Linked DNA regions of Caenorhabditis elegans. The protein of the gene in region 1 purifies or fractionates together with the protein of each later gene. This does not show direct contact. Each region holds a gene or a part of one and is shown in the gene's direction. Other genes may lie near its edges. The genes, in order: aat-3 and atgp-2.

Region 1 (8,337 bases):
AATTTTTTCCAAAACCTCCAATTTTGGACACTTACCCGTTTCTCAATTTTGGTCACTTCTCAGCGGTCCAAAGTTAACTTTTTCTAATTATCATCTTTTTTGCATATTTTGGTAGTTTATCTCCCGTTATTCATTGGTTAAGGTACATTTTAAACTGATAAATAATTAATTTTTGCAATTTTTGGTCATTGGATTTTTAGGCTAAAATTCCTATTTTTGCCTATTTTTTCTAACTAAGCACATTTAGGTAACGTATGTTTAAAATACCCTAAACCTAAGTTCAAGACAATTTATACCAGCTTAGAAAATCTGTAAAAAATATGGCCAACTATGAATATTTGGTATATTTATTCAATATGCATATTCCTATTTATACCTTATCAACTACTTATTCCTCTTGTTTGTCAACAAAATTTTTATCTCTGGTAATCTCTCAATTTCATATGCTATCCTTTTCTTCTTTTTTTCTTCTTTCATTTCTCCAGTTTTTGCTTCAATCGTCCAGTGTGGATTTCATTATCCTCTCTCTCTCTCTACAACCCCCGAGCTTTACGAGTTTTTACGAAAACAACACACGCACTATTTTCTTCCCTTGTAATTATTGATTCCAAATAAATAAATAAATTTCAAAAAAAGACGGAAAAGGAAAGGATGAGAAAAGTAATCATGCGCAAAAAAGCAAATGACCGTTGTCCTAAGACCTCCGTGCTCTTTTGCTCGCTGTGTCGCATCGATCTACGAAATAAAAAGTTGTCTGAATAGTATTCCTTTTTCTTGTTTTTTTTTTGTTTTCATGTTGCAATTTCAAACTAAAAAATTTGTTTTGATGCCAACGTTGTTCAGTAGCCAAAACACCTGCTTCTGACTAGAAAAAGTGAAAAGGTGCATAAATAATGAAAACAAATTAGGCGTAATCCCACCTGCTCTAGTTGTCATGGCGATTTTTGTTATGATGTTGTTTTAAAATGTTTGCTTCATTTTTTGCTTGTTATGTGTTTTTGTGTCATTTTTCAAGAAAACATTGAATTTCATGAAGAAAAATATACAGATTGAAAAGTTTCTTAAAGCTGCAAAATATTCTAATTCTATATAAATTATTTTAAAAATGTATGACAGAGTTGGGTTCTTATTTCCGACAAAATTTTTTCCTTTCTTCTCAGTGATGAGTGATTGTGATAGAAACTGACAGATTATTTTCCAATTGCTCATTATGAGCACAACTCTAATAAAAACTCAAAACTCAATTGCAAGCTATATTAAAACCTAATACTATTAAATAACTGTTTTCAATTTTTACCATAATATCTAAAAACTTAGCTTTGGTGGAACTAAAGTTTCCATGCAGGCGCGAAAATGCCTGCCGCGCTAACTCTGCGGCGAACTTCGCCTGTCTTGCGCGGCGAGCCTCGCCACCTGTATAGTGCGGCGCAGAAGCCGAAAAGTGTCGGCCGCGTCGAAAAAACCGTCTTTCGCACCATCTTGTGTAATCACCAAGCCTTTGACTTCTCGCCATAGTGCAGAAATGAAGCGAGAGGCCGGCAGGTTGGAGGCATGCGCCAGGCACTGAAACCGCGACTACCTCCCATGGATGTCGTAGTGGTAACCCGTTTCTAGACCGATTTATGTTTGCTTTAACTCGAAACAAAATCTCTCAAAAAATTCAAACGTTTTTTTATGGTTGGGCTTATTTTAGCTAAAATTAGACAATTTTTTGAGAAATTTTTGAGAAGTTTCATTATAAAAAGTTTCCTTGTAAACACATTTTGGCTCTTTACGTTTAAAATCGTCACTCCTTCAATCATTGTTCAAAAAGCTTTCACATCCTCACACCCTCAAAGTGCAAAACAATAAAGCGTTTCACATCTGGTGCACTTTTGTAAAATGCGTATCCAAACGCACGGAAGATGATTGTTCCTGTCACATCACTCATTACTCGTTCTCCTCTTTTACACTCCCCCAAATTTTCATTTCTGTTGATTCATTGACCCACGGGTATAAACATCGAATAAGAGGGGGGGGGGGGGGGGGTCTTCTTTTCATTCCGATTCGATACCCTAATAAATGTGCATTATCCGTCCCCGTTGTTAGGGGACAAGTAAGCAAGCTGGTTCCCACATTACCGATCCGATGACCGCTGTACTCATATATGTAGTAAGTAAACTGACGAGATAGTGCGGTTTATGCGGAGGTGAGTGAGGGTGACCAGTGTGCGCAATTCTTTTTGTCAATGTCTGCCCATTCCTCGTCATTTGCCCTCTGTCCCTCAAACGGCCGACACACGCACACACACACACACAAACAGGGGCTGGACGGACACACAACGATACGGTTAGTTCATCTAAAATGACATTTGGATTCAGAGATCCTCCGTTTACCAGTTAGCGTTTATGAGCGTTTATCTTGAGACCGATACCAATTTTATTTCATTTTGTTGGCAAAACCCCAAAATGACTGCCGATTTTCATCCGATTGGTTCTTCCTTTTAGTGTGCGTGTTTGAATAGAAACTTGATCGCTCTCCGTGAGTTGAGCTTTAGCTTCTACTTCAGAGATCTAATCCTTGACACCAACCACCTGACGTTTAGCGTGTCTATCCGGATCTATTCGGATTGAATTTTATCAATATTGCCAAGGAACATAACTTTCAGTTTTATTATGAGCCATGACGTTCTGAAGTCGGTCAAAATGCGTTTTTATTTATTTTTCAAAAATCTAGTGGAGTTTTGTCAGTAGGAGTCTAAAACGATCACAAATATCAAAATAGAACAATTCAAAACATTTTGGTTTTTTTTTAAGTTTCCAAGTTTTAAAGTTTTGGCAAATTGCCAAATTTTTTGAAAAATCTAGACCTTGAGAATACGTATACATGAATAACACAAATTTCAAGTTTAAAAAATCGTAGACACAATTTTTTTAAATCGTATTCTTAAATTATCAGTGGGCAAAAACTGTCACTTTTTGACAGTAAATAAAACATTTCCAGTTATTTTTGGTTGAAAAGTTTTACTATTTGTTTTTTTTTGACGCTATAGGAGCTGGCGCTACTTGTGTTGTATACTTTGCAAATGGTCAGCAAATTTTTTGTAACCTTGATTTCATTAAAACAAAAAAAAAACAAAAAATCAACTTTATGCTACTGTCCCACCATGTCAACAACATCACTATTATTATATTTAAAGTGAAAACAGCTTAAAAAAAAAAAAGTCACGCCCAGTACTAGTTTTCCGAAGGTTTTCTTTCCTCTTCTTGCCACTAATTTTTTTCGTCTATTTCTTTGAGTCTCTTTCAATTGAAATGTTTTTTTTTTCGCCGATGTCTGCCAAAATGTAGATGGCTTTTGCTTCTCTATCTCCCAGATCCTCGGTAGTATAGTGGTGAGTATCCGCGTCTGTCACATGCGAGACCCGGGTTCAATTCCCGGCCGGGGAGAACACTTTTTGCTGCTGATTTGCGTTAGAATTATTGTCTTCCGCTTCAGATGGTATCTCTCTCTTCCGCTATTTTCACTCAACTTTCTATATATGTCCGCCACCCTGTAATTATGATCTTCATCGACCTCGTATATAACCTATCCTACCGATAAAATGCACTGTGCATAACCAAACAAGTCAATGACAAGAGAGTCAGACGAGAGGAAACAACTTACTGTCATCTCTCGCGTCTTTTTTGTAGACGAGTCGAGTGCCGGCTAGCAAGCAGCTAATGGGGTTGCGATGACCTACCGACCCCCTGTCATGTACAGCCGCTCTTTTCTCACACGTTTATCTCTTCGCGTTTCCTGCCATTAGAACTTTGCTCGCTCCTGCCACCCACTTTTCCATTAACATTTGCTGCTTCTTCGTCTACGAATAACATGCTCTCTTTTTGCACGTAGTTCTATTCAAATACGAGTATCCCTTTTGCAACACTGTCCTTGAACGTTTTTCGCTTTTCGAATGTTTTGACTTTTTTCTCAACGTCTCTTGTACTTTTTTTTTCATTTTATCATCGTCAGTGAATTTTTTAAACGAGATTTTTTTTCAGACCAAAGATGGGTAAGCAAGAACAATCGGAACCGCTCAACCAAGAACCTTCAAATGAGCATCATGATGTGAGTATTTGATTTTTTTTTTAATTTAAAAAAGTTTTCCAACAATCGAGAATACTTTAGGAAGAGGTTGGCGACAAAGGTTTGGAAAAGACGATGACTTTATTCAATGGAGTATCTATAATTGTCGGATGCATTATTGGATCCGGAATTTTTATCAGTCCAACTGGAATCCAAGCACGTAAGTTGTTCGATAAGATCAGATAAAAAACCAATTAATTTCCCGGCGAGGGTTATACATTTATACAATAGAATTTAATTGTTGATAAAATTGTTTTATTGTCATAACAAAAGATTTTCACAGAGATATACCTAGAAGGTTATATATATATATATGCAATTTAAACCTTAATTTTTGAATTCTCATAAGTTCCTGAGGACTTCAAAATCTTAAAAATAAATTACCGTGGACCCAAACGTAGGCGCGTGTTTCAGTTGAGTTAGGAGTGAATTAGGAACTTTAAAAAAATCAATGTTGTTTTTTAAAACTTCACAGTGTAGAATTCTGATTAATAATAAACTTGCTCTTTTTTCTGAAAAATAGTTAGTAACTAGTGATAAAGCATTTTGATTTTAAAACGTCCGTTATGGACCTAGAATTCTCGAAATTTCAAATAGTAAAGAACAATTTTCACTCATTTATCTACACTTATCAAACAACTGCTAACATCAATTTTCTTGCATTTGACTTGACTATCACATCAAAACGTGTCATTTGTTGGCCTACCCTGTACAACAAGTTACTCTAATAATTTTGCTCCGCTTTTCAGAAGCCGGCTCAGTCGGCCTTTCACTGATCGTGTGGGTTTTGTCTGGACTCTTCGCCGGTATTGGAGCTTTTTGCTATGCAGAACTTGGAACTCTTATCCGTAAATCTGGTGGAGACTATGCGTATATTATGGAGGCATTTGGACCATTCCTGGCGTTTCTTAGACTTTGGATTGAAAGTATTGTAGTGCGGTAAGAAGCATATTGGCGACTTGAGATTTTACATTTATTTTTTTTTCAATTTTTCAGACCATGCACCGCTACAATTGTGGCACTCACGTTTGCAATCTACATGTTAAAACCATTCTACCCGGACTGTGATTCTCCACCACTTTCCACGGAACTAATTGCAGCTCTTCTTCTTGGTAATTGACCTTTATTTTTGAATTTTCAAACTTTTGAATTTTCAAACTTTTGAATTTCCAATTTCAGTGTTACTTACGGCTGTCAACTGTATCTCTGTCAAATGGGCAAGTAAAGTTCAAGATTTCTTTTTTGTGACCAAGACTGCTGCTCTTGTATTGATCATCTTCACTGGTTTATGGAACATGGTTTCTGGTGGGTTTTAGGATTGATTCATAATTCATATTTTATTTAAACTAAATTTCAGGCAAACCAGAAGCTTTTGACTCATTTGAAAATATCTTTGAAAACACCGCCAAGGATTTAGAAACTGCTTCACTTGCTTTCTACTCCGGATTGTTTGCTTACCAGGGCTGGAACTACCTTAACTTTATTGTTGAAGAACTTCAAAATCCAAAAAGGTCCGTTAAACCAGTAACATTTTGAAAACTCGATTCACAATTTGGAAACATTTCAGAAACCTTCCACTCTCTATTGCTATCTCTTGCTCACTGTGTACCATCATCTACACTCTTACAAACGTGGCTTTGTACACGTCAATCACACCCGATGAGATGCTTGCAAGCCCAGCGGTTGCAGTTGTAAGTTAGCCAATGCTCCTTAATAGAATCTGACAAAAATATTACAGCTATTCGCGGAGAAGAACTATGGATGGTTTGCTTTCTGCATGCCAATATTTGTGGCCTGCTCAACCATTGGATCGGCAAACGGTGTCATTTTGACAAGTTCTAGGTAACTTTTTTTAGACAGATTTTTTAAAAGTAGTATCAGGGCTGTGCGGCAGTCGAGATGTTCGGCAAGCGGCAATTGCCGAAGTTGCCGAACCCCAAAACCCCAAAATTTTCGGCAACCGGCAATTGCCGAATTTGACGAGCCAAAAAATTTTTGGAAACCGGCAATTGCCTTTTTTTGAAAATTTTTTTGTTGAAATTATATTTTTGAGCGCTTTGGAAAAAAGTATGGTCGTTTTTTTCTTTTACAGTGAAACGTTAGCATTTTTCAGGTTCTCTGAATGTTTTTTTCTGAGCTACAAAATGTTTGGCCGATATCGGCAATTGCCGAAGTCGAACCCAAAAATTTTCGGCAACCGGCAACTTGGTTACCGGTTGCCGCACAGCCCTGAGTAGTATAAAAAAGAATCAATGATGTATATAAATAATTAATTTCAACAAATTTTCAATCAATTACGCAAAAACATGCAAAAAGTTGCACGTAACTCGAGGATAATTTAAAAAGCACACTTTTCAAAAATAGTGTAGGTTATCAAAACGTTTGCAATAAGGGAATTTTTTCAATGCAATAAAGATATATGAATTAATTTTTAAAAAAGTGAACACATTTGGGGTCTATATGTACATTTAAAAAACCAATAACCGTTATTAATCCTTTAAGATCAACCAAGACTTACGACTAAGTTTTAGATTAACATATATTAAACAACACAATGCGAACTAAAATAATTCAGATTATTCTACTGCGGAGCTCGTGAAGGACAAATGCCAAATGTATTAACCATGGTGAACAAAACCACAAAAACTCCAATCCCAGCCGTAATTCTCACTGTAAGTTTTGCACATTCTTACTAGTATTGAAGTTTTTTCAAATTACAGGGACTTCTTTCCTTGCTCTACCTTCTTCTCTCCAACAACATTTACTCTCTCATCAACTACATTCAAGTCAGCTACTGGATTGCTATTGGAGGAGCCATCCTTGCGCTCTTCTACTTTAGAAAAACAATGCCAGATGCTCCAAGAGCTGTGAAAGCGCCGATAGTTTTCCCAATCATATTCTTCATTGGGTGCGTGCTTCTTGTGTTGGTCCCAGTTCTTGGAAACCCGAAGGATACTGCAATTGGAATCCTTATTATGCTGTCTGGTGTCCCTGTATACCTTATTTTCATTGCATGGAAAGGAAAACCAAAGTGCATTGACTCGCTCACAGGTAACTATTTCAGTTTTTGGAGTCCATTGATCAATTGGAAATTTCAGATTCCGTCACGATCTTCACGCAAAAGTTGTTCATGGTTGTCGACGCCAACAAAGAGGAATAGTGTCATAAAAACTTGTAGCTCTCAGTTCTCGGCGCTCACAATCCCCAGTTACCACCAATTTAGTTTTCGTTGTTTTCTTTTATTTACTAAAGTTCGAGAAAAACTGATCTCAACTATATTATTTCCCCCCCCCCCCTCCCCCCAATTTTACAGTATTTTGCCGCCGATATAAAAGAATACAATGACAATTCGTACAAGTAGAAATGCGAAAAACCATAATTATTTTGGCATAATAAATATATTCTCACTTCAAACACTTCTACATATTCTGGCTAATAATCGGTTTTCCTGAAAGTTGTTGAATTGCAATTTACAAGGTTTTTACTTATTGTTAGATTTTTTTCCACGGAGTTACAGGTTTTCACAAACAGTAGAATATGTTTAGAACCTAATTTTTAGTTTAAAATCTAAGTTAGATTGTTCTGGAACGTTTTACTTGCTCCAGATGCGGGTGCTCAACGCCTCTTTTTTTCAGACCCCTGGTTAATTAGTTGGAAATTGTTAAAATGGTTTATGTGTCTAAAATTATGTTTTTACATGTGAAAAATAAATTAAAACGTAGTTTTTGGCTCAGCGGCGACGAATGCGGTCATAGTCACAATTGTTGTAAATGGACGATTTTTTGTAGAATAACGATGCTCCATAGACAAATTGAACAAGAAGCGAATCCCAATCCGAATCTTTTGGAACAATGCATTCAAAATTCATATCAACGGAATAGTAGAATCGATTTGTGTAGTAGGAGCTGAAATTTAAATTTATTGAAAATGAGCAAAAATATTTTGAAGGTGGAGTAGCGAAAATTGCCTTTAAAAATGCCTATAATGACCTAAATCTCATACTTAAAAATTCAAAAAAAGTGATAAATTTTATATGAGTTTTTGAAATTCGGAAAAAACTCCGTTTTCCACTTTTTTAAAGCCGTCGATTTGAAAAAAATACCGTTTTTATTATCTACTTACGTGTGTTTCAAAAATTATCAGGGAATCGAACATACGATAGTGCTCTAGTTTTTTCAAAAAGTGGCAAAAACTCAATAATTGCCACTTTTTGAAAAAATCCAATATTTT
Region 2 (6,385 bases), on another chromosome or scaffold:
TAAGTAAAATTGAAACTTGTTTTGAAGTTTTGAAGAGAATTGGAATATGAAAACCTTTTCCCTAGCTAACTTTACTTCTCAGTTAACCTTCAACCAAACACACTTCTTCTTCCAATTCATGTCTTTCCCAGTAGTTATTGTTTTGTTTTCATCTCTTTCATCGTCGCTCAAAGCCTCTGCGTCTCTTCACCAACTCCCTCTCCCTACCCGTTTTCGCAACAACGTCTCCTTTCAAATTCGTTCTCTTTTTTCCCTGCGTCTAAGCTATTCCTTTGCTCCCTAGCGGTTAGTCAACAAATAGTGAGGATTCGCCTTCTCCTTTGAAAAATCGGCAAATTTTTCACGCTTGTTTTCTTCATTTTTTTTGCAACTTCTCGATCAATCTTCCTCAAAAATTGACCTGCTGTTGAGATTAAGGTGGACATGTGTTGATGAGTGGCTCTTTGAATGCTTAGTTACACTTTTTCTCGTGTCGTTCGTCCTCCTTTGACAAGTCACCGATACCGCGCGGCGCGGCGAGAGTGAAATATCGGGTTACTTAACTCTTTTTTGTATACCTATACCACTTGAAAACCTAGGTGATGTTCAAGGGGATTTTGATACGACCACAGTTTCACGCTTTTGATTTTGAAAAAACTTCAGTTTTGTAACCTTACACTTTTTCCATTTTAATGACTTTTTAGTTACTATATTTTTTATAAATTGAAACTTTTGTTGATAAGATTTTAAAAAAAACTTCGTGTGTTCAATTCTGAAGATTTTTAGTTTTAATTGAAGCTTTTTGCTTCTGTACTGTAATTTGCAAGATTCTTCTGATGATAATTATCCTAAGATTTTTTGTAGATCTTTTGAGACTCAATTTGTAAATAGGTAATAAGTAGGGTTTAGATAATTTTGAGCATTTTTTGGGAATTTTTGACCAAATTTTTCTCAACATTCTATATTATTTTTTTAAATTTTTTCTCATAAAAAAATGGAAACAGTTTCCAATTAATTACCAAAATTTATCAAAAAAAAATCTTAATTTCAAAAACAAACATTTCAATTTTCAAAACTTCAATATGCCACACAAAATCCATATTACTCAATAAATTTGTTTATAATATACACAGTGAATAAAATTGGTATGCTCTCATCTGGTGGGAATTGTCTATTCTGCATCCTAATCCTATATTCATTAGCCCATCTTCCTTCTCCCTCTGAATTCTATTGGGACCTCTATAGAATAGAGAAAAAAAGCCGAAAGTGAGCTTCTTCTTCTTTTTCTCCTTTCTCGTATTTCTCTTGACTTTTAAACGACTTTTTCTTATTTTTTTCCCTTGTTGTACGTTTACGTGTTTCCTGGATTTTTTGCTAAATCTTTTAGTTCAGGTTTTCGTGAAAAATTGTATGGCTCTGCTTTTTGGTTAGCTAAAATTTTGTGTCCTTCATAATTTTTAGTAAGAATATCTTTAGGAAAACACAAAAAGTTTAATAACGTATTATTAATTTTTTTATTGTACCCAAAACTTTTGCATCTATGCTTATACCATTTTAACTCATTTTTGAAAAAAAAACTCCGCGGCCAAAATTATGCCGCACCTATACCTTTGGCTTTTTGCAGTAAAGTTTCTAGAATTATTTTTTTCCTGTGACTTACATTTTTCAATTTCCTGAAATTCCGTCAAAACCTTCTTGTTTTAATCATTGTTCTTTGTTCCCAAGTTCACTGAACGTTATCATTTTTTGCAGACAGTCAAAATGGACGCCACCGACCGGCTAATGCCGGGTCCCGAGGGCAAGACACCAAGGTTAGTACAAGCGATAAATGGGATGATCTGGGTCGTTTGGAATGTCCTTTCTAGAAAATTAAAATGATAAGAAAACTGCAAATCATCTTTGTTCTTTAGGTTCAATTTTTCTATTCAGTCTGCTGTGCAGTCTGCCGAAATACCCATTCATTTTTCTTCATTTTCTTATTATTTTGCTAGCAAGTTAAGGAATGCGCAAATCTTCTATTCTTACTTCTAGTGCATTTTTCAGTTAAAAAACTAATCATAAAATTTAAGTAAAAATTCGATAATAAATTTCCAGGTTTTACGAAGTAGACCGTGGCAACAAAACTGAAAGCTACATTAGTGCGGTCTCTGGAAACCCCGTAGTGCCCGAACACATTATGCGGAAGGAAAAACGACAAGAACAAGAAGAAGCACCTCCACAAAAGTCTTGGGAACGACCACCGGCTCCCACTAATCCTAAAAATACTGATCAAATCGGGTTGAGCGAACAAGAGTTGGAGCAGTTTAGAAATGATCCTTGCTGGAAGTTTATTAGGTAATTGATTTTTTATAACTTGAATTTTCTGCCAGTGTTACTTTGGCAGTAGGCATTAAGCAGGAAAGGGAATACATTTTGTGCCTGCCGCCTGTAATACTAGAAATGAAAATAATTGTGCGCATTTATTTTGAATGGTCCTACACTAAACACATACCTAAACTAAAAAATAAAAGCCATGCCGACTGAGTGGGTGCTTAATCAGTAACTCAAACAATTGATCTTCGTTATTTACTTCGTTATTTACTTGGCTCTGCGCCAATATTTTCGTTTAAGGATGGAAGACACGTGGTGAAAAAAAAAATTAAAAGTACGTTGTATGGAGTACAGTAGCTAAACAACCTTCAAAGTTTTCAAAAGTTGTTGCGAGATTTTAGTGTTTGAAATCAAGAATCCAATATTTTCAGAACCGTCCTTTTTGTGCTCTTCTGGCTCATTTGGCTTGCTCTTTTCGCGGTTGCAATTCTCCTGGTCTGCTTCTCCCCAACCTGCGTCCTACGCGCAAAGCCCAACTGGTGGCAGACAGCCGTAGCCTATCACGTCTGGGTACCGTCCTTCCAGGATTCAGATGGTGATGGTGTAGGAGACGTCGATGGACTTATTAATCGACTCGATCAATTGAGAAAGTCCGGAGTTCAAACAGTGTGGCCTTCTCCGTTCTTAATATCGGATGATGAGAAGACGGCTGTAAGAAGTTTCAGTCAAATGGACCCAAAAATTGGTGTGAATCAGAAGGCTGATGAGCTTATCAACAAGATTCATGAGAAAGGTAATCGTAAACTTTACATAACTTCATAGGCCAGAAAATTTTGCAGAAATGAATATTGTAATAAGTTTCCCTATTGCCACCACCTCACTAGAACACGAATGGTTCTTGAACTCAGCGACGGCAAGCAAGACACCAAATGCCAACTATTCGCAGTTCTATACTTGGGTCAGCAAGGCGGCAGACTCCAACTTTTTCACAGAGCACAAGAATCTCTTCTATCTTCATGAGAAAGGTATTGAATTTCATCATTAAGAAAAACAGTTCTACTACTAGTTTCAGGAAATCCAAAATCCGCTGTACTAAACTGGCAGAACAGTAATCTCCGTGAGCACATGTTTAATGCTCTTTCCAACTGGATTGACCGCGGAGTCGATGGATTTGAGCTTCAAGGAATCGAGTACCTTGCAAGAACGCCAAATGGTACAGAACCTGACTGGAACTCAATTTATGACGTCATAAGGGATATTAGATTCCATGTGGATTCCTACTCGAACGAGAGTACAATTGCCGATGGAAAGAAAATGTTTGTCAGAAAGAAAACTTAATTTTTTAAAGTTGAAATTTCAGCGCCTTATTCTCTACCAGAGAAGAAGCGAAGGAGAAGGACAAGAAGCGTATGGCAAAGAGTGGGATGGACACAGTCATCAACTACGAGTTGGGAGAAGTTGAGAAGGACACTAGTGAGTTCTTATCGTACCTGAAAACTAATAGGTACAAGTTCATTGCAGAGATTTGTCACAAGAACGAGGGATCAGTTGCCACTTGTGTTCACGAGATTCTGTCCGACGTCCTGCTGTTCCATTCGTTGAACGAGCAAGTTTGGCCTCATTGGAGAGTAAGTTTTGTGGGGCTTTTGGAGAAAAGATTGTGAAATCGTGGCGGCGATTTAGACTAACTTAAATTTAGAAATTCGAATTTTAGTCATTTTATTGTAAATTGAAATAATTTCCCCAACAATTCATATGGGACAACACAAGAAAAATCTATAAAATAGGCCCGTTACCACCTTGAGAAGGCGGAGACACATACACAAAACCTAGTGGCAGGCGAAACCCGCAAGGTGTCGGCCGCACGTCTACCCTCCCCTTTATAACGACCGTCGGTTTTGAACGTACTCGGCGGTGCTCGTACGTATTTCGGTCTAGATTGATCTCGCTATAAAATAGTTGACGAACTTTAGATTGAATCAAACCATGACGAGGACCGGGAGCTCCCGTTCGGCTCGTGATGATGCCACGGTCCTAGAGCTCCCTCGATCAGAGGTTTCCCACTGACTGGCTATCCGGTGGATAGATTCATCCAGTCCTGGTGGGTTCTGTCACGTTACAGGCCTCACTCCCCCTAGGTTAGACAAATTCAAAATTATCTGAGCACCGCCGATGTGAGCTCCGCTTGTTAGGAGTTGTCAAAATTTTTTTTGCCGTGTATTATTTGAGGAAGTAAGCATGAAACATTACCAAAGAAAAATTTCCGGGAGTCAAATCGTTTTAATTATTTTGAAAAAAAACTTTCTAACATTTTCAGTTCGGCTCCCCGGACCTGGCTCGAATTGCGTCCCGTGTCGGATCCCGTCCACATGCACAACTCCTGATGGTTCTCCAAATGATTCTACCTGGAACTAACAATATCTACTACGGTGAGGAAATCGGCATGCGAAATCTGGCGAATGACTCCAGAGTCCCACCACAGAAGGGTGCGATGCAATGGGATGACTCGTTGAACGGAGGATTCACATCAGCCATCAGTCCGCCGGTTCCGTCAAATATCGACGTGGCGAATATTAACTGGAAACGGCAATACGCTGAGCCTCAGTCAACATTGAAGATTTTCGCGAAACTGGCGAAATTGAGACAGAGAGAAGATGCACTGATGACTGGAACCACGCTGATTGGGCGACTAGTTGATGGAGCATTCACGATTACGAGATTCAATAATTTTGAAAATAGAACTACTGGAAATGTGAGTTTTTTTCTTATATCATAGGGAAATTTTTCAAAAATTATGAAAAGTTCAGATCTACGTAGCCGCTCTCAACTTTGCCGAGCATCCAGTAAAACTTCCACTGACAGACTTGCCAAGCAACTCAAAATTGCATAAATCTACAGTGAGTTTTCGAAATTTATAAAAAAAACTGCCAACACTTGTTACCTTCTTTTTGTTATTCATAGAAAAAGCAACTCCCCTATTATGAATTAGTAACACACATGCAATATCGATGCACATTCAATTTCCGAATTGCAGATAGTCACCGCCACATCCAACTGTGTCGCCTACTACGCACGTCAGACAGTAGACTTTGGCTTAAAGGAAATCGAATTGGAACCAAATGAAGGCGTCGTGTTCCGCTATTCAGCATGATTATCTAATTCATCTTGTTATGCAAGGTTTTCCAATAATATGTGTCAGAACAAAACTCTTAGAACCAATTTTTTTGTAATTTTCAATTTTTCTATGTTACCTCGGCCCCCGATTGCTTTCGTTTTCCCTGTCAACAATGGTGCATACCTTCGTTTTTTCCTCTTTCTTTTCTTCGAATTTCTCAAATCCCCGCTACTTATTTATATGGTGTGACATATCCGCCCCGCGTGAATTGTTAATTTTAAAAATTAAATTTTTATAATAAAATATACAATTATTGTTGAAAGCCACGTGCTGCAATGCAACAAAAAATTGAGCTTAGGGCTTTTATGGCAAGAATGCACGCCGTGCCTGCCTGTCTGCCTTTTTCGTTCGACATACGACTTTTAATCAACAATAGGTTATTTTTCGACCTTACTTTTTTCTACGCTCTCCAATGAAGTTTGTGCTTTGCATATGCCATTAGTAATATTATGCAAATCAATCATAAAATTAGACACAGAAAAAAGTGATTAAAGCTGGTTAAAACAGATGTCTTAGTAACTTTTTGATGTATGAGTTTTAGCATTTTAATTGATTGGCAGCCGGGTTAACAGCTATGAAAATAGGGTATAAAAAGTCATTAAAATGCGTATTAAATATAACATAGTTCTCTATGATTCTTCAATTTTTATAATAATTATTTTTTTTATTGTTATTATTGCACAAAACTGCCTCATCCCTTCCAACCAGGTTGTCTTGAATGCAGGCCGGCATTTTTGGGTATAGTGTTAAAAGAATTTTGCATATTGCGTAGTTTATGATTTGAGAACTGATGAAAATCAGGTAACTTCCAAATCTTTACGCATTGTTGGCTAATTTTCTCTCATTAACATTTCAAACACACATTTTTTTTCTCTGACTTTTCAGATTGTGTATTATAGTGATTATTAAAAAAATGTTCGA

The links.
Region 2: the proteins of aat-3 (region 1) and atgp-2 purify together in Caenorhabditis elegans (co-purification; one study listed by BioGRID). This does not show direct contact.

What each region holds. Positions count from the first base shown.
Region 1 is NC_003284.9:2,550,209-2,558,545, forward strand, and holds aat-3 (Large neutral amino acids transporter small subunit 1), read left to right. Parts: upstream 1-2,051; 5' UTR 2,052-2,227; coding exon 2,228-2,328; intron 2,329-3,356; exon of another isoform or gene 3,357-3,428; intron 3,429-3,581; exon of another isoform or gene 3,582-3,790; intron 3,791-4,022; coding exon 4,023-4,089; intron 4,090-4,149; coding exon 4,150-4,267; intron 4,268-4,856; coding exon 4,857-5,046; intron 5,047-5,103; coding exon 5,104-5,219; intron 5,220-5,286; coding exon 5,287-5,412; intron 5,413-5,464; coding exon 5,465-5,618; intron 5,619-5,674; coding exon 5,675-5,798; intron 5,799-5,845; coding exon 5,846-5,949; intron 5,950-6,682; coding exon 6,683-6,779; intron 6,780-6,827; coding exon 6,828-7,158; intron 7,159-7,205; coding exon 7,206-7,267; 3' UTR 7,268-7,521; downstream 7,522-8,337. Other genes in the region: F52H2.5 (Peptidase_M10 domain-containing protein), read right to left, coding at 7,838-8,012.
Region 2 is NC_003280.10:14,639,430-14,645,814, reverse strand, and holds atgp-2 (Glycosyl hydrolase family 13 catalytic domain-containing protein), read left to right. Parts: upstream 1-1,731; 5' UTR 1,732-1,740; coding exon 1,741-1,790; intron 1,791-2,073; coding exon 2,074-2,313; intron 2,314-2,720; coding exon 2,721-3,082; intron 3,083-3,128; coding exon 3,129-3,314; intron 3,315-3,361; coding exon 3,362-3,605; intron 3,606-3,649; coding exon 3,650-3,762; intron 3,763-3,810; coding exon 3,811-3,917; intron 3,918-4,199; exon of another isoform or gene 4,200-4,501; intron 4,502-4,606; coding exon 4,607-5,041; intron 5,042-5,096; coding exon 5,097-5,186; intron 5,187-5,323; coding exon 5,324-5,440; 3' UTR 5,441-5,717; downstream 5,718-6,385.